2 linked regions of the Caenorhabditis elegans genome follow. The protein of the gene in region 1 interacts with the protein of each later gene in a pairwise test. Each region holds a gene or a part of one and is shown on either strand. Other genes may lie near its edges.

Evidence for each region.
Region 2: the proteins of prx-12 (region 1) and uev-2 interact in a two-hybrid assay, tested with the Caenorhabditis elegans proteins (one study listed by BioGRID).

The regions. Positions count from the first base shown.
Region 1 is NC_003284.9:11,388,953-11,400,058, forward strand, and holds prx-12 (Peroxisome assembly protein 12), read left to right. Parts: upstream 1-4,340; 5' UTR 4,341-4,348; coding exon 4,349-4,489; intron 4,490-4,538; coding exon 4,539-4,647; intron 4,648-4,694; coding exon 4,695-4,888; intron 4,889-4,932; coding exon 4,933-5,147; intron 5,148-5,192; coding exon 5,193-5,510; intron 5,511-5,558; coding exon 5,559-5,616; 3' UTR 5,617-5,667; downstream 5,668-11,106. Other genes in the region: prmn-1 (PRoMiNin (5-transmembrane domain glycoprotein) homolog), read left to right, coding at 1-94, 191-311, 359-506, 563-642, 689-832, 893-1,031, 1,080-1,239, 1,366-1,515 and 9 more; slo-2 (RCK N-terminal domain-containing protein), read right to left, coding at 5,747-5,894, 5,957-6,044, 6,315-6,438, 6,494-6,616, 6,665-6,748, 6,792-7,134, 7,397-8,197, 8,242-8,391 and 9 more. UniProt on the Caenorhabditis elegans protein: Component of a retrotranslocation channel required for peroxisome organization by mediating export of the PEX5/prx-5 receptor from peroxisomes to the cytosol, thereby promoting PEX5/prx-5 recycling.
Region 2 is NC_003281.10:5,579,202-5,590,079, forward strand, and holds uev-2 (UBC core domain-containing protein), read left to right. Parts: upstream 1-3,923; 5' UTR 3,924-3,939; coding exon 3,940-4,086; intron 4,087-4,193; coding exon 4,194-4,313; intron 4,314-4,354; coding exon 4,355-4,442; intron 4,443-4,534; coding exon 4,535-4,685; intron 4,686-4,825; coding exon 4,826-5,012; 3' UTR 5,013-5,321; downstream 5,322-10,878. Other genes in the region: F56D2.5 (RBR-type E3 ubiquitin transferase), read right to left, coding at 139-237, 283-374, 422-535, 580-732, 1,100-1,378, 1,745-1,867; F56D2.8 (DUF4440 domain-containing protein), read right to left, coding at 2,687-2,734, 2,812-2,987, 3,033-3,210; F56D2.3 (DUF148 domain-containing protein), read left to right, coding at 5,861-5,983, 6,438-6,562, 6,708-6,912, 6,960-7,189, 7,404-7,584; F56D2.2 (RBR-type E3 ubiquitin transferase), read left to right, coding at 8,062-8,190, 8,245-8,523, 8,575-8,727, 8,776-8,889, 8,937-9,028, 9,077-9,175, 9,224-9,608, 9,657-9,860; Pre-mRNA-splicing factor ATP-dependent RNA helicase ddx-15, read right to left, coding at 10,078-10,195, 10,250-10,610, 10,663-10,878.

The sequences.
Region 1 (11,106 bases):
GATCCTCTAAAAAACAGAATACTGATGCAAGATATGACGGATGCAAACGAAGCATGTGCAATCTGTTGTTATTTGTACTGGTCAGTGCGAATGCGTAAGTTTCTAACCATTTTTATTAATTTTGAAGAGCATAAGAAAAGTTAAACACTATTTCTTTGACGCGTATGTATTAATTTTGATTACTTTCTAGGTTTGTTGCTTTTACCCTGTTAATGACAAGCCAATATGCTCAAATTGGTTTGGATAAGCTTCCAAATCGGATGAATCAATGTGTCGACGATTTGCAGTCATACAAAAGAGACAGTGATATGGTAATTTTTGTTGTTTTTAAATGGTTACTTGAATTTTATAATTACAGAGAATACGAAAGTTGCTCATCGATGATTACCAGGTCCTCAATTCAACCATTACCAAACAACTATCCACTGCCGGATATAATGTAGTGGACCGCGTCAAAAAACTGACTGGCGCACATGTCATTGACGTTTTCATGAACATTAGCAAAGGTAAGGTCATATTTATAATTACGAAATGTAAAAAAAAACACATCGGTATTTTTTAGTGGCGCAAGAAATGCACGATGGGTTGGAGTCAGTTCATGGAAAGGTCAGATTTCTAAACGAAGAAGGTTCACGGTTTGAAGTACTTATTAAAACTCTTATTCTCAGTTTAATTGTAATATTTTTAGGCTGAGTTCTCACGATTACGAAATACGGCTAATGAAGAGCTAGTCAAGTGTCTTGAAAATGAGCTCGAGCCGGTTAGAAGCATGTGTGCAAAAGCAGAACGACTCCTTGAGAGTCTCGCTGTCACTCAATTCAAAATTGACCAAGTGAGTTGTACTAAAGACGGGGCGTTTTCTATAATTAAAAAAAACAACACTTATTTTCAGAAATTCCTGCCCGATGCAACTGAGACCGGGCTTTCCGAAATTGTCAATGCGAATATTACTCAAGTACTCGCTGCATCCAACAATCAATTTGAGCAATTAGAGAGCAGAATACAACACGAAATTGACAAAGAAACATATTGTAAGACAATAACACTAGAAATGTTATACATTCATATATATTTTTAAGCCGCTCAAAATATGTTGAAACAAATCGGAGATGATCTGTTTCTGGTAGCTGAAACAATTTCGACTCAATTGCGCAAAGTAACATTTGAAGCTTTGTATAGCACTGTTTCTTATGTATCGGACCCTAAAAAAACACCAACTCTCAAATACATGCAATACAGGTAGGTCTTATCAGAAAGGTCTACAAATTTGATATTTATGATCTCAGTTTGAAAACTTCCTTTTTTGTTTTGTTTTTGTGAAACCAATTATTTGGTATTATTAGAATAATATTGCCAAATTTACAGCTGGTATGCGTCTCTTGTTATCACAAGTTTGTTTATTCTCCTGGCTCTCATTTTCCTATTTGGAGTTCTTTATGGAATATGTGGTCGACGTCCAACTTATTACAACGATGATTGTTGTGTAAGAAGCACTGGCGGAAAGTTTTATTCTTTGTAAGTTTTATATTACAATTAAATTAATCATAGGTTTAAATTTCAGTGGAATTGGGGCTTTTCTTCTTATCTTTGTCTTCCTGGCAGTGGGAACTTCTGCATTGATGTTTGCTGTTGGAAACTTCTCAAACTTGGTGTGCCAGCCCATGAGAAATCCCTTGAGCCATCCGGAATCGTTATCGGTTGGTTCATCTTTGTTCTCCCAAGTATAAAGATTTTTGCAGCTTGCTGATAGATATATCAATCTTTGGAAAGCAAATCACACACCTGAAAATGATATCGAGGTTACTCTTCAGTCGAAATCGCCGGCAGAAATTATTAGAGCGTGTTCAAGAAACGAGACGCTGTACAACTTTTATGGATTTGACAAAAAGTATCATTTGAACAAACTACAGGTACTAACAAAACTTATACATAGATATGTTAAATATAAATTTTGCAGGATTTTGAAAAAGATGCATACAACCAACTGCAAATTTCCTTGCGAACAACTATGGAAAATATGCCGGAAATTCGTCCGCTTGATGCATTCATTTCAAGAAGCGAACTTCGAGATTTGGAGAAACTCGCCTCAGTGAATGTTTCAAAAGTTAGCCAACAAGGCCTGAATGCGGTTTGTAGATTGGAAACATAATTGAGCAATTTTTAACTTTGAGTTTCAGATAAAGCATGCAATGGATGAACTCGACTTAGCATCCAAAACGCGGGAATTCGAGGAATCTCTAGACGCAAATTCGGGTCGTCCTAAGGCAGTGACTCTTGTTCTTGAACAAATCAGAGAGTTAGAGATTCAATTTGCGAAACCATTAAGGAGCAGATTAGAGGCATTGTACTCTAACATTACTTCACTCGATGAAAAGTGAAAATTCTTTAAATGTTGAATTCCTATAAAATACTTATTCCAGACTTTCTCAGCTTCAAGTTCCTGTTTCTTCTCTTCTTGTAAAGCTTCAGCATGCTCAGGCTTTACTGGCTGAAAACATGAGAGAGCATTTCGGTCGTGCAGCTAAAGAAGAATTCCAACAAATGGTTAACAACATCGACCAGTACATAGTTCATGTCAAAAGCCAGGTAATAACGCAAAAGTGTTTCAAAAAATTCTATAATTGCTTGACTTTTCAGATGGAGAGCGAGGTCACGTCATGTCAACCGTTGACACAAATTGCCCGGCAAACAACTGCTGCTGTTTGTGCTTACACAATTGATCCATATGTAAAAATGACACAAAAATTGGGGAACTGTTTTCAATTTATAATTTCAGAACGGGACATGGATGTGTATGCTGATCTGCCTAGTTCTGTTGATACCAATTGTGATAATTTCAAACTCATTAATAGGTTTATACTCTAAGATGCACGCGTTCCCAAAATAGTAAGTTTCACAATTTTATTTAAAGAAAAGTGTCACAATAACTTTAGCTTAGCCATTTTTTCGAAAAATAACCCTTAACTTTGCAATTTTGAATATAATTTTATATATTTCAGCATTGTGGAACCACCATCTGAAACACATCACATGTCATCGTTCATTACCGATACATATGACACTAGGCCTAAGCCGTAAGTTAGCATATTAATATCAATTGGAATATTTTTTGAAACTACACATTTTGAAATGATCTTTCAAATACTCGGTATCAGAAATAAAACGAGTTCAGTTTGAAACACAAAAACCAACAATAAAGATCAAAAAGTTGATGTAGCAAATTACCAACAAATACTGTTTTAGAAAAATTTTGCATTATTACAAATGCGACAAAAATGTTTAATGTTTGCCAGAACCCAAAAAATATTAAATAATGAAAAAGTAACAGCCCTGCTATTGAAATCTGGATATGAAAAATGTTCTAAATATAAATTCAAATGTTTCAAAAAACTATTTTTTTCAGTGGATACGCAAACTACACCTACACAGATGATTATCAACGTAATTATCGATGAAGAGCCTCAGAAAATGTATTATCACAATTGCGCCTACTTAATTAAAAAATGCATGTATTTATGTCGACAATTCAGTTGAAATTTTCTTTCATTTCATTTGATCGCACCTAGAATCTACGAGTATCATTTTCCCATTATTCATTTCTCCCAGTCCCATGTTCTTTTTCTTAAAATCTACTCAAGTGAACCGCTCAATTCTACGCACACAGTTTTTCTATTCAGTGCCATTTTTGCATTTCCGTTTTTTCCTCAAATTCGATCTTCAGTTGTTTGACTTTTTTTCAGTTTCCGTAACTTTTACTGATAGAATTATCATTTATGTGATGATTCCCCAATTGCGGTTCGTATTTGAATAAAAACATTAAACCACCCTCCACGTTGGTTCAGTTCTTCCAAAAGCGGATTGAAGTTGATAAGAGTTAAGATAAGAACAAATGTTGCGTGCAAACAATTCGTGATTTATTGTTTTTATATTTAAAATAATGTATATAGTTGTCCACGTTTTGGTGTCTCTTTAAAAAAATCATAAAGAACTAGCACGCACCGTAAAACTCACTACAAATAATTGAAAATCCCATTTATTTATTATTCATGCATTTATTAAAGAGTCGTTATTTTCATTGTATTTTGCATCAATAGATCTACAGTTAAGAAAAGCAAAGGTTACATTGTTGCAATTCTAACCCTCCACATTTCAATTACTATCTAATCGTGATAAGACAAGGACACACTACGTCGTAGTATGATACGGACAGTGTCCTCGCTCCTCCGGCAATCGATGGTCGTGTTCAATCATTTTCATATCTCTCCTTTTTTTTGGTTTTATTTGTAAATTTTAATGAGTATAATCTCAACAATTTCCTCTTATTTTTAACTGAAAAATTTAGGAAATAATGAGTACGACTATTCGTGCCTCGCAGCTGGCTTCGTCAATTTCTCCAAAAACTGAAGAAAAGCAGCCATCGGTTTTTGATATAATCGCTCAAGAAAATCTTGCAACATCAATCAGACCGGCTTTACAGCATCTTGTAAAAGTATGTTAAGAATAAAAGTGAAACGAATATTTGAAATTGAACATTTCAGTATCTAGCATTCTTCAAGCCAAAAACATTTCTTTCGGTTCACCGAAACTTTGATGAATACTACATCATATTCGATCTCATTTTGCAAAACCACTATTTGAGAAACTATGGTACGTTTTTTAATTCCAATTTTTCACCTAAAGATAATGTGTTTCAGGAGCGTCGTTCACGGAAAACTTTTATTCTATGAAGCGAATAGCATCAGGCACAGGAAATCCACCGAACGATGGTAGGGAAAGAATAATGTCGCTTATTACATTAGTCGGATGGCCTTATGTAGAGAATAAATTGAATCAGCTTTATGACAGGCTCAAGGAAGTTTACGAATGCAGAAGCTGGTCATCAATTAATGTATGTATAGACAAATAAATTTGAAATATCGTTTATAATTCCAGGGCATGAAAGCAAAGTGTCAAAAAATGTTTGTGATCATTTGGCCATACATCAAGACAGCTCTTAAGGCAGTGAAAAGTGCTCTACAACTTGCATACATTTTGAACCGCAGCTCCATTCACTCGCCATGGCTTTACTTCTCAGGCGTGATTCTGAAACATCTTACGCCAGAAGACTTGGAAGCTTTCAATGCTGTTCCTCTTCATCTCCAAACTGGGTATCAAATTTCTAGAGGAACATTAAACGAACATATTCATTTAAGATTCTTCAATCGCATCTGGAGATTTATTTTGGGACTACCTGGAATCGTTTCAAGGCTCTTTGCTTATGGGCTCTTCTTTGTACAGTTTTTGGATTATATGTACAACACAGATTTGGCAAAACTTACAAAGACTGGCCTTGACGGAGCTATTCCTTCACCTCCACACAAAATGATCATATCTGAATCGGAAATTTTGAGTTTGGACACCAATAAATGCCCAATTTGTTTGAAGAAAAGAGTTAATGATACTGCGCTTTTTGTATCTGGATATGTATTCTGCTACACATGTATCAACCAATACGTAAACACTTATAACAAGTGAGTTTTCTTTATTTTAAACTATCAATTATTTGAGAAAAATTTCAGATGTCCAGTGACAGGATGCCCGGCAAACGTTCAGCATTTAATCCGTTTGTTTGTATAGCGCTACAAATTTAATTTTGAATCATGTTACGACAAATAAAATTACAAAAATATTCATTTTTAAAACACGAGCAAATATTCCAGCAAATTCAACTTTTCGTTGTGTTGGGCATTGTACAAAAAACGCAAGTTTACAAATTATTCTCATCAATGACAATTGTTGGGACTTGATTTGTTGAATCGATGGTTTCACTAACATTTTTACTGCGTCTTAGACCCCTTCTTGGGTTAATTCTTGCGTTGGTTGCATCTTTCCGGATTGGACTTCTGATTACGTAGCTGAAAGTTCATTTATGAGTTCTTGATCAAAAATTCATCTGAAATAGAATTTAAAATCGTACACAATATCTCCGGACTCTAGTTCCAAATCTTGAGCAGGATTGATGATGACATATGAGATTTGCGACTTTTCATCGCTTCCTTCGAGCACTGAAATTTAAAATACAGTTCACCACGTCTAACCGCACCAAGAAAAATGATCACACTGAAGCAATTAGAATTAAACTTAAAGAATCTTCAACCTTATTATGAAATGAAATAAAAGTAAATAGTAAGTATTAAAGTAAGTTTTCTAATTTTATTTTGTCTGCTGGTTCACACCACTCTTCGGCTTATACCTGTTGATCTGCACCGGCTAGCATATTTCCAATTGACTAGAAAGGGTTTAAAAATAGAAAACTAATTCCGAATAAAACTTACAAGTATGAGTGTCTTTTATATTAAGAAGTCTCATTCGATTTTTCACATGATCATACATATCTTTGTTTCTTCCCATTTCAGTGTTTTCAAAATCTTTGCATTGTTCTTGAAGATCAAGGGATACCTGAAAATATTAAAAAAAAAAACAATTAGTCGATACTGAGCAGATTTGTGTTTACCGTCTTAGTGTCCATCTTTTTGGTTCTGAAAATACCGATAGGAATATCAGCCACAGAGGAGCATAGTTTTTGATACAATCGTCCATAATTCCGAATCCATAAGTCATCCGATGTGATAACAAACTGAAATATTTATCACATGAAGGTTCACTGCAATTAGTTTGATTGTACCGAAGTTAAATATCCGCCATCACTATGTTGATCAATTCCAAGAAGAAGTCTGACTAGATCAACCACAAACGGTTTGATAATAGCCTGAATATATTACGTTTGAATATGCGGAAATTAAAAAATTAACCTGATAAAGTAATCTATCCAGCATGTTAGCACTAAAAACACCTCCTTGTGCAAATGGTAGTCGGAACATGAACGGCATATGAGAGCCACGTTTTCGTTCCTTTTTTTCAAATCTGGATTGAGCCAATGAATAAGCATTATGTGGATTGAACTGCACGAATCGCATGTTTGTCGCATGCGTCAATTCAGTGATCATTCGAAGTCTTGGGAACATTCGATGAATCTTTTGAACTGTGATAATTGTGTTACAATCTGCAGTATGCTCCTCTGCCATTACAGCTGTCTCCTTGACAACAACCACATGCTCCGCACTGCTTACACCAGCTCGGAGAAGGCAATCCAAACTGTAAGATGATGTATACTTATTGACGAACATATTAATGAACATGATAATTGGTCATCACTGCAACTCCCGCCAGACATCCGAAATTCAAAGACGAGTAGTTTATTATTACATTAAACTAAGGAATAAATAAGTTAGTTCACAGAGTTCACGTTGTACGATCTTCTTAGCCACGTCGTGGGTCAATACACGTTGATACCCAACAATAATAGATAATTTATTTCATGTATTGTTGAATTAAATTTATAAAAACATTCACTTACTTTCCAACTTTTCCCTTCATCCAATAAACATCTGGGAAATATGAGATTGCATCCAAAAATGCATCATTCAACGAATCTTGCTCTTCCAACTCCAAAAGAATGATGATCGGATGTAAATCATGCACTGGTCTGTAGTATGCTCGAAGAGGAATAACTAAATTGTACATGCCACTGCTGGTTCTATCCGCCGCAAGAATAATTGGCCGATTTCTCCATTGGTACTCATGCGCAGAAGTAGCAGATTTATGAGCACATTTTTCATCAAGCTTTAGACAGCAAAGCGACCGACGCTCTTTCATCATGTGGCACACAGTATTAGATGTTCCAATGTATGTTCTCACTTGTGGGTAAGTACGCTGAAGTTTATGTTGTATGCAAGGTCCACGGCATTTGTCGCAAATCTCTTCTTGATCAGAATCGGACGAGCTGTCAATTTTCCCCTCAGTAACCATTGCAATTGACGGGCGACGACTAGATTGAACATGTTCTCCAACTTCAATTAAGTGGATCTCATCTGCAGCCTTTTCCTTCCTCTTCTTCTTTTTTCTGCCAACTAACTCGGTTTTGTCAGATCTTGGTACATCTACAGCTACCGTTCCAATATTTGCAATAGTTGATGCAACATTTGCACGTTTTTGCTGGCTTCGGATGCCTTTTCTAAAGTCTGTCAGTGACTCTTCATTGGTCAATCCCATATAATAAACTGTATCAGTTGGCTGAATGATGTGAGAAGATCCTGGGTTTAACTTCATACGTGAAGTGTCCCCATCCGGAGAAACGGCAATCAAACCGATTCCGTATCTGAAAAAGAAAATGCTGAAGTTGCAAATAAGTGATCAACTAACTCTTTATGCGCGTGGAAACTTGTGCTGCTAAATGACTTTCCGACATACTCACAGAAAAATTTGCTGTCTTGAACTTTAATCTGGTACATTTCGTTTCCAGAATGAAATCCATAGACTTTGTGCCACGGTTCGGTAGATTTCTGGCCTTCCCTAGAATGATGACATCATTAAAGATTTTATACGAAATTAAATAAACGTACTCTCCACGAGAGGTGTGCATTAAAAGTGTGATGAAAGTAGAAATTCCCGGGCAGATGCAATTGTTTGCAAGTAGAGCGTATTTAAATTCATCCTCACAAATTAAGACTTCTGAAAGAATGTATGTAATCATCGAGAAAGTAGTAAGAATCGTTTAAAGTTTAAAGAAATACTGCTAATTTTGAACCTATTTTTCTCTATTTTGAATAAGTTTTCTTCGTGGAGTCATACCTGCGTGCTCAATATGCATCTTGGTTTCTGCTCTGAATATTTGCACGTATTGCTTGACATTTGGAGCAAAATCTTTAATAGCCCATGACCGAAGAATTGTGTGTTCATCTGTGGCCACTTTTCTGTTGACATGTCTTGCAGACAAAATGAAGCAAGCTTTTGATGTTGCTACGTTGGCTCTGAAAATTCAATTACCGACGGAAGAACGAAAACAAAAATTGAAACCTCTCCAAGTCTTCATCTCTTAAAGAGCTTCCACGAACGTAATGAACCCGGTTATTCCAAAGAGGAATTTTCAAAAGCATTCGTGTCTGGTTGTCTAATTCAGCTGGCGACAACAAAACAATTTGAATTCTCTGAAGAACAAAAATTATTTTAGAACTGGTGTGTTACTGAAATACCTGGTTTTCGGGGTGGGCGTAGAATTCTTCCAAGAAATCACGAATGAATTCAACTTCCAAAGTAGTGATTGTCACAACAACATGAGATTCCACTCCATTCCAACTACTAAAGTCAGTTCCAGATTTCTGACGTTCAGACCATGTTTGTCCCAGTTCGTCTAGTTGTTTTGGAATCAATCCCAATGCAACGCAAATCAAAATGACAACGCATAATTGTGAAGCCCAATAGTCTGGATACCAGTCACCATAGCCAACTGTAGAGAATGTGACCATTACAAAGTAGAAAGATGTGAAGAGATCAATTCTTTTTCCACGAGCACGTTGCAAATGTTCAATGCTACACATTCCGGTAAAAATGAGGCAAGCCAGAACTGAGAACAAGAGTAAAAGTTGACGAAATAGAGCAGAGGAGCTTATAAAAGATTTTCTATTGAGATCGTTCTGAAAAAATAATGAACTTTGACACTTCCCAGTAGGCAATGCCTCACCATCATAGCTTGAAGAGCACCTTTGGCAAGCCAGCAGTTGAGAAACACCGGAACGTATAAGTAGGTTAAGCTGGGAATAAAAATCAGAAAAAAATTAATGATTAATTGTTCGTTGATAAAATAAAATAACAAACCGATATTATGAATGGGAAACTTGTGATGAGTTCCAGTAAGAAATGAATATTGATGAGCAGTCTAACTACACTTCCCTGAAATTAAAATGTGCTTTTTGTAAAGTAGTGTTTTGAAACGACTTACCGAATAACTGAGATAAAACACCAAAATAGTGTAAACCATACTAATGCAAGCAAACATTGTTTGTAGAAACCAAATTTTGAAATCGAAGTCTACCCATAGTAAGTATTTACTGAAAATGTTGTTTTCAATTTTCTGGCGAGATATAAATTCTGAACAAAGTTATTCTCAATTTTCTACTAATTAGTATTCATTTTAATTATTTTGTAATAACTGCATAAACTGAAATTTAACTTTTTTGATATACAGGTATGCTGAATAAATTCAGTTTAAAAAAAAGGTATCATAAACGTACATGTGTGAAGAAGAATCTATATTGAAATGTTTGAAAACTATAATTACTTTTTTTCTAAACTTGGAATGATACTTTTCTAAATCATTCAATTAGTGGAAAATTGGGGTCCTTAACACCGAATGTTGAATGTAATTTTTCAAACATTTAATTTAAAAAATTTTCAAAATTTTCTTTTCAAAATTTCAGAAAAAAATCGACTCACTAAAGTGTGACATCTTGTTTTCCAGCTTCTTCTTCCGAAAATGGAAAGTCATCAGGATATGATCTTTCGTCATTGACGACACGAATACAATATAATATACATGTTAATAGTTTGATCAACACATTGCAGGATCTTATTCGAGCACCTGAACAAGATTTTGCCCTTATTATTTTATTATTTTTATTTGAAAATTGAAACTCACTGATACTGGGGTTTTCTATGAACCATTGCTGAAGTTTGTGCTTGATGTTCTTTTTTTCGCCATACTGCATCCGAGCACTGAAAATAAATTGGAATAAAAGACAGAAATACTGAGAAAAACAATAGTGTTACCACAACCACAGCACCAATTTTTTCTTCCAGTAGTAATCTGATAAACCTACCCCATTTCTTGCCTTGGAAGGTGTTTTCTTTCTTTTTTCACAGAGACAATTTTCTAGAGCATGTGTGCTCAGAAGCGAAAAGAGCTCAGAAAAGACGAATGTAGTAACGAAAAACGGAAGAGCAAAAAGAAGGAGCTCTTCGTCAATTTTTTATAGGATGCTTTTTTCAAAAAAAAATTTAGTTCACTTTGGGAATGCTCAAGAATTCATACTCTTTGGACTTTATTGCGATGCATAAAATTCAAGCTGGAAAACTCACAATGTTTTTCTAACTGTCGCTCTAAATCTGCTCATTTTCGATTTTAGTCTAAAAGTCCGGAAATAAAGTGAATAACATTCCAAGAAAAGCTCCAAATGCTTCCAACTAGCTTTAACTCCGGCCAAAAAAAAAGAGTACAGCAAATGAGTAGAA
Region 2 (10,878 bases), on another chromosome or scaffold:
GAGAAATCCAGCGGGCTCAACAAATTTCAACACTCAAATTTCAAACCGACAATCACAGAGCTCCAGACACAAAGTTCAAGAAAAATTCACGAGTTCTGATAGTCTAATAGCAACACAACACATTTTTCTAAATTTTACCTGTCAGTTAGATAAGCCACCATTTGGCAATTTTCATTTGGACATTCCATTGAATCATCCATTTCTCGAATTGCTTTTTCTAGCATATGAGCTTCATACCTTTAAAAATTAATCAAATACTTGTCAATCTCCTAGGAATCTTACTTTGCAAACAGCTCCTCTCCTAGAGCCTCTTGCACCATACCCTGTTGGGCTTCATTTTCACATCCTTCTGCTAGACATGACATTGGTTTCGACTGAAAAATCCAATAAAAATATATCAGCTAAGAAAATTCAAACTAACCACAAACCCCTTGGCAATAGAAATATAATAGTTGAAAGTGCAGGATTTGCAGAAAACATGAGAACATGGCTGGAACTTTATGCAGTGCTGTCCCATTTGGGATTCGAAGCATACCTGGAAATTTTGATGAAAAATTAGAAAAAAAATACAAACGTTACTTGGCAATCGTAGAGGGTATTAACAAACTGTTCTTCAACAGCTTCCTCTTCTTTCTGTAGTATTTTCATTTTCAGAGATTCGATAGTCTCTCCTTGTCTGTTCAGTGCACATGCCTCGTTCAAATTTATAATTTTCGGAGTGTTCTGGGCCATCTGAAATTTGATAGTTGAAAAAGACGCCAGCTGCTTGAATCAAAGAACGTAGCAGTCGACATTCCGCAGAATTAAAAAAGTTAAATTCTGCATGAGATATCTAGATTTAAATTCGCTCAAAGGCATACCCGTGAGATGTCGGTCTTCTAATCAACATCCTACTTCTAATGAATATGTAATTTCTACTATCTGTGTAGACCGTTACATCTCAGAACGCTTTGCAGACGACATATCGCGGGTAGCCCATCTATGTCATTCAATAACGAACCAGCAAAATGTCGGCTGCAGTTAAATTTAGCAGAGGACACCTTACGTGTCTGAGATGTCGGCTCATAATGGTGCTTTTTATTTGATTCTCGCTACTCACCAAATCAATTATTGTCTGGTAGCACATAAAAAGCACCTCCATCATCTGGTTTTCCTCGCAAATCTTTGCCAACTCGGTTTCACAAGATGTCATTTGTTCCTGATTCATCCAATAACTTTCCAGTTCAAGTTTTGGTGATGATACGGTGGGATAATCATTTGGAAGATGGAATTTTAGTCGAATTGGAGGAAGAATGTCAAGAGGAAGATGAAATTGATCGCCGGAGTCAGATGTTCCTTCAATTGTGACTGTTGGATCGTATAAGTTGTCAAATCCGACCTGAAATTGCACTTGACTATTCTAAAACTCATTTAAAAAAACCAACTAACCAACTTTCAACCGTAACTTAGTGACTCTTCTAAAAAATACTTTACTCCATATATGGCCATATTAGTTTATCTCGTACAGGAAAATAGTCAACCGTGGCCAAAATTTCGGGCTAATGATTATGGAGGCTATTGAAATTTTCTATACTTTGTTACCTTAAATATTTTTGATAACTTACATAATTACGTAGAAAGTGTAGCTAAAATATAGTAAGGGTAGTTTCAGATAAATAATTTTTTGTTGTTATTTAGTGGACATTAAATTACTTTTTTAAAAGTTAAAATACCCCAGCTTCTCTCAAAAAACCAAAATCTTTACCTCAATAATTCCCTGGATTTCAGCATTCTTATCACTCCAATCACTGGATTTCGCCAGTTTCTTCTCTCTTAGAACACTTTCCAATGCTTCCAATTCATATATTTGCAGGTCACGATCAGTCATTTTTTATCGATTTTTAGACAAGAGACGCAGAGATTCAATAGACGGAGTTTAGGTAATTTAGAAATGAATGTTCAGGAATTTATAGAAAATATTTTACATTATTAGTCAAAAATGTTCAAACAATATATGAGGAAAGTTTGCGGAACAAAAATCAAAATTAATTACTAAAATATTGCGAAATATTGCAAAATTGTAATGAGTAAAATTGCGCAATGTGATAGATAACCTGTTGTGGAAACGATGAGAAATACAATTTGAAACTTTAAATTTAGAGTATTATCAGTGAGAAATTGTTCAACTTAAATTGTGTTTTTCTCTACGTGATGTGTACTTTAATTGCGTTTCAATTGTTTGTATTTAAACAATCGAAGAGTTCAAATTTGCAGCAATGCTTGAAATTGCCCCCAAAAGTTCAATTTTTCAATTTGCCAAACCTTTCACTAAAATTTTTGAAAAATGTATCTATCCATGTACCTTATTCTTCAGGAATTGATAAAATCTATCGATTCATAAAAAACTAAAGCTATTCCAACAGAATAGAAAAACACAATGTTCAAAAATGAAAGAATATTAAAATCATGTGAAAAGGGAAAACTTCCAGAAAGTCGACTCTTCTCGTTTACTGCGTTTTGTGAATATCTGAAAACTTTGTACGGATTTGTTACCATTTCTTCAATAGGCCGTGTATCATTCTGTCAATTTTTGGTGGATAGGTAAAATGTAACAGCCAATTTGATTTCTGAAAAGTTTTCGAAACATTTTTAAATATATTTAAAACATTTATTTAGGTCATACAAGTCCCGATATTCGAATATGAAACTACATCCAATCACTGAAGTGCACCATTGTCCAGCCTTTCCATTTGTTCTGCAAATTAAAATTTATCTACAAATCTATTCTGGTGATTGCGGCTGGATAAAATTTTAGTCCAACTCCCTGATTACCTCGTATTTTATCTTGAAAATAGTCGTTTTTTTGGACAAAAGGGGCGTGTTGGGGTAATATCTGACATTAATCTGAATGACTCCATACTCGTAGCGAACTCGTTCAATTATTCCGGTCGGATAAGATTCAAAAGATTTGATGATTCCCTGTGCCGCTTCAATCATGCCACTGACAGCTGAAAATAACTAAATTTCAAAATTGTTTCTGATATCGTACTTACGAAGCATATCATCCGGAGCAAAAAGATCCACTACTGCAACTGGGTCCCCTGATTTGATAGCTGCCTGGAACTTTTCGAAGAACTCCTTCGGTACGTTGGCATATTCTTCGGGGACTGGATCCAATGAAAAGACAATAGAAGCACTTGAAAGAGCTAGAAGAAAAATTGGAAGACGCATATTTTGGTTTGGCTACATGGCGAACTGAGCATTTTTATAGTTCGAAATGCTAATTCAATTAGAATGTGAAAATTGTCAATCAATGCGGAGGTTGATGTTTGGTGTCGTATTGATGATCATGATCATTTTGGGCATTTTGAAGACACCACATGGGTTCTGCCGCGTACGGTATCCGGTCTCGTCATGATAAATTTTAGCTGAATGAAAAAGCGTGTGCAGTGTGTGGCAGAGGAGTTGCGTCATTCCACGTTTAAAAGTGTGCCCAACATCAGATATACCTTTAATCCTCCAACCCGTCGGAATCAAGTAGCTCACACACACACACACACATACATAATCTGAGAGCACGTGTAGTTTTTGTTACATGCTCAATTCTAAAACAGAGGGCGCGAGAGAGAAAGAGGCCATCTCTAGGACAACGTACTAATGATAGAGAGACGGCATCCGCTTCTGTGTGATTATGTAGCTCTTTTTCTCTCGTACCTGCCTCTTCTTCAACTTGTGATATTATCCCACGTATTCATACTCTCTTCTTCACTTTTTGTTTGAAGCTTCTGGTTGCCTTAGGCCTCGTGGGATAATATGCAACGTTTTGTGCGCTTTAAGAATATATTCACTGTAGCTTTTTCAAATAAGATCCAGCTTAGGTTCAGTTAACGCGGCTCCGGAAGCTTCGTCACGAATTGGATTACTTTGACTTTCCAGATTAGAGCTTAAGCTTTCAGAAACATGCGAAGACGTAGCAACAGACAATATGTTGATCTCTCATATTTTCGCGAAACTGCCGATGCGCTATTATTCGACGTTGAAACCAATTCACGCGAATTCACCAATGAAATCAACACTGTGAAGGAGGAGAAAGCCAAGTGGGATGAGGTAAGCTTTCACACAAAGTTTAACTCGCCTGCCTACCTGGGACCTAGGCCTGATTTATGCCTACTTCAAAAGTGGGCGTGGCATGTGTCGAAATAACTTTTTTTCAGAGAACACCGCAAGGGTATACGGCAAAGCCAATTAGTTTTGAGGGCGCAGACATATGGTGTTCTTGGATATGTACAGTACCTGGACCGAGAGGAAGCCCCTGGGAGGGAGGGGAATATGAGGTTTAATTACTTTTTAGTTCGCAAAAGTATATTATCTCCAGGTTTCCGTGAACTTTCACAAATGGCCTATAATTCCGCCAATTTGTGAATTCAAAACGCCGCTTCATCATCCGAACGTGGACCTCAGAGGTTGGTTAGAACTGTTTCGAAAAAATATGTTTGAGTGTGAAATACAGAAAACGGTAGCAAAAAGAAACGCATTATTACAAAAATCTTTACAGGATCAATTTATCTTAAAATGCTGGAACAAGAGCACTGGTCTTCTGAAACTTCACTCAAGAAACTTCTGAGGGAAATCAGCAATCTACTTGCAACGCCCGATCTTACTCAAGCTGCAAATATTGAAGCCTGGATGGAATATGAGAATCAGCGGTTAGATATATTTTAACGGCGCACAGCTGCAAATGTGAACAAACTCGGCCACCTATTCTTCTAGGCCACTTCGATTTGGAGCTAAGCGTCGTTGAACAGAGAAAAGAGAACACTTAACTTTTAAAATTATCTTGTTCCAGTGAAAATTACGAGGCTAAAGCTCGAGCTTATGCTTGGACAGTTAACCCGAACGCCGTGGGATACATGGAAGTATCCGAGAATTCCGGAATTCAGAGGGAGACAGCAAAGGCTAAGTTGGCAGTGCAAAATGGTGCCATGGAATCGGACGAGGATGATGACGATCTACCAATTGACATCGAAAACTAATATTACACAAATTTTTATATTTTTGGTATTGGCCAACGTTTTCTGTTGAAGACCTTTTCCACTTTCTCAAAACTTTCTTGCCGACACTCTATGGAATTTTTCAGATTTTTCTCCAAAAAGGTGCCAATTTTCTATACACATTTATTTAAATCCCAATGCCCCTTTTTTGCAGCAAACTTACCTGACCTATGTGATAATTTTTCCCATTTTCCCTACTTTCCCGATCACACCAATTTTTCATTCTCTTTCCAAAACCATGTCTTTTTACGAAAAAAGTGATTATTGTACCAAATAAAGCTATTCCAAACTCGTTGAGTCGGGGTGTCCTCCCATTATCTCTTAATGAAATGGCAGAACAAGAATAAATCTACGTAGTCAACATTTGTAGGCAGGGAGGTATGCTTGACTAAGCTCCAGTCTACTAAGGATTTAAAAAACTCGGCCACCGATTTCTTGTTCTCGGCCACGTTGCAATGAACCGCAATGCCCTTCAAAAAGAGGTGATACTCGTGATTGCACGTCATTACCTCATCCCCAATGTCTATATTTACTTCTCCCGCACACCTTGTCAGATATCTGCACTGTTCATGGTGTGCTCATCGCCTCGCGGAGAGAGCTCTAACCCAAAAGTTTTAAACGTAAAAAGCCGGAAACGGTATAGGTTTATCGGTTCACCGAGAGCGCGCCTAGATCGTGTGGTACCGCCCCTCCTCGCCTCCCGTCAAAGGTCTCTATTTACTCCCAAACAGTGTGCTCTCGGAGCCTCCCGATCCCCCTCGCTGACCATTGTCCACTCCACTCGACCGTGCACAGTTGACTCCTTTTTTTGTACTAGTCGGTTGTTGGAAATGAAACGTATTCTTTTGATTTCTCTATTTTCGGCGGTTGTCAACGGCTTTTACTACAAGAGAACTTTATACGGAGATGCTAATGAGGGAGCTGCCATGCCAGACTATGTTAATGCTTATTATGTGAGTTTTCTTGGCTTGTAGGATTTTTAAGTGGCAGTTTCGGCAGAGATTTCACATCTAAAATATAGTTTTTGAGTTGTTTTGCAACAAGTCAGCCAAAAAATCGGTGGCCGAGTTTTTTGCTTTCCGCGGCCACGTAGCGAAAATCCCAAGGTTAATTATTACAAGGTCACAACCATTTCGGTATGTTGTGTAGATTTTTCTAATTGAAACTAGATCAGAACACAAACGCCTGCTTGCTTGCCTTCATTCACCTACGCTTGTATCAAGATTGTGCACATTGAAAGTAGGCGTGTAGACAGGCACGTAGGTACCAAGGACTGAAGATTTCATGAAAACAACACCAAACACCAGAGTCCAGCAAGAAAAAAAACCAAAAAATAATAGGCAAGCTTTCATGAAAACGAGTCTGCCTACCAAGCCTTATTGAAAATTCTGAACATTCATTTTCCAGGGTTTTCCAACAATCCCAACACAAGAGCCACGTCGGCGACCATCTTTCAACATGAATCCACCACAAGGATATTTTCATCGGGAGCATCCATTTGACTTTGGGCCATTTGGTTATATGAGAGCAAGGTAAGTTCCGGAATAGGTGGCCAAGTTTTATCTCCTCGCGGCCACTTAGTAAAAAACTGACCGTAGCGCCAGATTACAACGATAATCTATTCAAAACTCACTTTAGACGGTACCTTAGCAACAAATAATCTTGATTTTCCTTCAGAATTGGAGAAGCCAACTTCGGTGAGCCCATGGAGAAAACTGACCGCGAGCGAGCTATGGAACGGGCCAAACCGGGATTTTGGCGTCAAAACCAACGCGAAACCATGGATCGGATCAAGAAAATTATTGGAGAGCAGAGAATGAATATGGAGCAGAAGCAAATGCATATTCGAAGAGTTCTAGCAAATGAGAGTGATGAGATAAGGGTAAGAAGATAAATAATTTTTTCTCAACAAACACAAACATTTTTCAGTCCAAATTCGCTGATATTCACAAAAGACTGATCATGAAAAACAACAAGATGACCGTCTCCTCTCCAGTTCCAGAGCTTAGCAAACAGGCGAAGAAGCTTGAGAAAGAGGCCAAGAAAATTATGGAAAACAAGAAAATGAGTGTAGAGAAGAAGCAGGAGAAACTTGACAAACTTATGCTTAAGGCTCCAGAGAACGTTAAGAATGAGCTCAATGCTATGAACGATTCGGGGTGAGCATTGAGTTTTTCATGGTAGGCAAGACGCGCATGTAGGCAGGCGCAGGTTGCATGGGAGGCAGGAAGCAGGCGTTACATGGTATTCCTAAAAAGATTCCAATCCGTGTAACACTCTCGGAGAATTCAATCATATCAAAATTGATTGATGCTTAGTCGATTTTTGTGTTTCTCCTCTATTGCTCTCTTCGAAAAATCTCAAATCTTTCAGATCAACACCTGCCCCAATTCAAGCTCCATTCCCAGCTCCAGGACAAACCGAGGCTCTTAATCGGGCAAACCCATCAATGGCTTCTCAAGTTGAAGTAATGACTCGTAATGCACCAACTCAAGCAGTGGTTGAAGCTCGTCAAATCCGAGTTTCCGAAGATGGAAAAACTGTGGAAATTTAAATAATCTGTGCTCTATGAGCAATTCTTCTTTTTGTGTATTTTACGTCTAATTTTCTCAACTGCCCAACGTCTTTCCCTTGTGCTCCATCCCCAGAAACGACGAGCTATCTGACTGTATATACAAGTGATTTCAGCTCGGCGTTTGCTCACCTGCTCAGTTCGCCTTCTGTAAATATAACCTTAATCCATTCAAAATCGTTGTTATCAATCTCAGCATATCAATTGTTTATCAGTGTTATTTAAATAATAAATATATGGGATTTTCTGCGCTAATATATTAGAAAACTCGTATCTTTCCAATAAAAAGTGGAATTTGAACATCCACGCTTTGTTTCTGTCAGATGGAGCGCGTTTGGTGCATGTTTTTTCAGCGGTTTTTTTGCCCTTTTAAAAAAGTCTAGATTTCTAAACATTTTGAACGCGATACCAGTTTTTCTTGTTCTAGTTTGTGTTAAAATAATTTCTACTAAATTTCAGATGTCAGACGACAGCCGTGAAACTCAGTTATTCGAGCTAGAAGCACTGGAGAGTGTGCTAAGGGAGAATAAATTGACGAGAATCAGTGATTGGGCGGATAAAAATGCAGAAATTCGGGGAATAATTGAAGTAGAATATTGAGCGTATAAAGAAGTTTATTATTAAATTTTTTCTTGATTTCAGGTAGGATTTGACACATTATCCGATCCAAAAGTCACAATTGAAGGAACGTCTGACTCCAGCGATCATTTTTCCATCCCCCTAGACATTCTTCCACCAATCCGATTGAAATTTCATCTTCCAAATGATTATCCCTCAGTATCATCACCAAAACTTGAACTGGAAAGTTATTGGATGAATCAGGAACAAATGACATCTTGTGAAACCGAGTTGGCAAGGATTTGCGAGGAAAACCAGATGATGGAGGTGCTTTTTATGTGCTATCAAACGATAATTGATTCGGTTAGTTTTTTGTTCTTTTTAACAAATTAAATATATAAAAATAAGTTTCAGATAGACCAATCTCACCTAAAAATCATCAATCTGAACGAGGCGTGTGCGCTGAAAAACAATGGAGAAACTATTGAATCGCTGAAAAAGAAAATTCTTGGAAAAGGCGAAGAAGCTGCTGAAGAGCACTTTGTCAATACACTTTTCGATTGTGAAGTAATTTTTTCGTAGTTATAAAATTATACTATTTTTTCAATCTTCCAGGTATGCTACGACTCTCAAATGGGCCAACATTGCATCAAATTCCAGCCGTGCTCTCACGTTTTCTGCAAACAATGTACTTTCGATTATTATCGTACAATATCGAAAGGTGTTGTGGTAAGATCCAATCGATTTTTTTTTTGGAAAAATTGGATCATTTACAGTCAAAAGCCATGCAGTGTCTAGCAGAAGGATGCAAGAGTGAAGCACAACAAAATACGGTTAAGGAGGCACTCGGAGATGATTTATATGCAAAGTGAGATACATTTCCAAAAAAAAAAATCCAAATTTGAATTTCCGCCAGATACGAGACGATTATGCTGGAGAAGGCGATTCGAGAGATGGAAGACACCGTGGAGTGTCCCAGAGAGAATTGTCAAAAAGTCGCCTACGTCACGGATAGGTATAGTTTAAAATATAAAAATAAATGTAAAAAAGAAGAACATTTCAGACAACGCTTCCTGGCCGAATGCTCCTACTGTAACTTTTCGTTCTGCAATCTGTGTAAGCAGACATTCCACGGAATAGAACGCTGCAAATGGAAGAAAGGAGACAAAGAGCTTCTTGTCAAAAGATGGAAGGATGGAGATGAAGCTGAGAAGGCTGAAATGTGCAGGCAATTTGGAGGAGAGAAGCGTGTCGAGGAGCTTGTGGAGCGGTTCCTCAATGAGGAATGGCTGGATTCGAACAGCAAACCGTGTCCCAAGTGCTCGGTGAGCATAGAGAAGAATGAAGGATGCCACAAGATGCACTGTACGAAGTGTGACACCTACTTCTGTTGGTTGTGCTCTGAAACTCTTGACAAGGAAGATCCTTATAAGCATTTTCAGGGAGATGTTGGTTTTTTCTTAGAATTGTGTAAGAAATGTATTTTTCATTTTCAGGGATCATGCTCTGGACGTCTGTTCGAAGGAGTTCATCACGATTTGCTAGATAACGATGACGATCTTCTTTTCGATATGGCATTTAACGACGGTAGTGACTATGACAGTGATGAGACCGTCGAGTATCCTGAATCCGACGAAGATATTGATGCGGAGGATTGGTTAGAGCAAGAAGGACATTTTGACGAGCTTTTCTTTAATTAACATAACTTTACGGTTTTCTCTAAATTTACGGATTAATTGTCAAATAAAATGAATAGTTCATCCTTTTAGATTTGGTGATTGATTTAAAAGTGAAAATAGAATTAAAAGAAAGGGGTAAGAAATAAACAAAAAATAAATAGAAACAATCAAAAAATTTGACAAGGGGCAATAGGGATAAAAGAGGTTTGGGGAAATGAGATCAGATGATTCGGAGGCATCAATAGCCTCTGCCAGCGTTTCTCTGCAGGGTCTGCATCACAGTAGTCAGCTTCCGTTTCGTGTCTCCATCTGGGAAGTTGTCGAGATCATAGTATTGAGGGGCGATTTGAAGTAGCCTGAAACGCATATCTAGTTAGGTTTTGAATAATATAATTTGCAAATTAACTCACCATTCAGGGCGCACATCAGTTACAGTTCTGATGAAGTTCTTTGTGGTTAACACGAACTCATTGTAGAGTGCCCACTCCGGCTTATGATCGAGAACTGTGGATGGATGAAGGTTGACGAGCTGATTATCTTTCACCGTCACGTAGTGTCCACTTCGTTCCAGATGAGCGACTTGCATGAAAAATCCAGCTACAAGAGCTTTCCTGATGTTGAGATAATAGTCTCGAGATTTGAAGTCTGTTGAGACACGTCGAAGATTGTACTTGTCCATAACACGCGACAATTGTGTGCGGACTGTGTCGGCAGTTTTCATAGTTCTGTAGTTGATGAAGTTATCGTAACACCACTGCGGATCTTCTTGATCTGAAATATGCGAAACTAATATTTGAAAAAAAGAAAAACAAAGTCAACTTACTCTGCTTGAACGAATGATAGACATTGAGAAGTGTGAGATGATCTCCATCAATATGTGCAAACCGAGCCTTCGCCTCATCGGCTTCTGTTCTCATTTCATTGGGACGAACCCAGCACTGCGGAACCGAGAGCATTGCTGTGATCGACAAAATTTCATTTGAGCAATTGAGTTCAGTGGATGTGATAAGCATCTTTGCGAGCTGAGGATCAAGCGGGA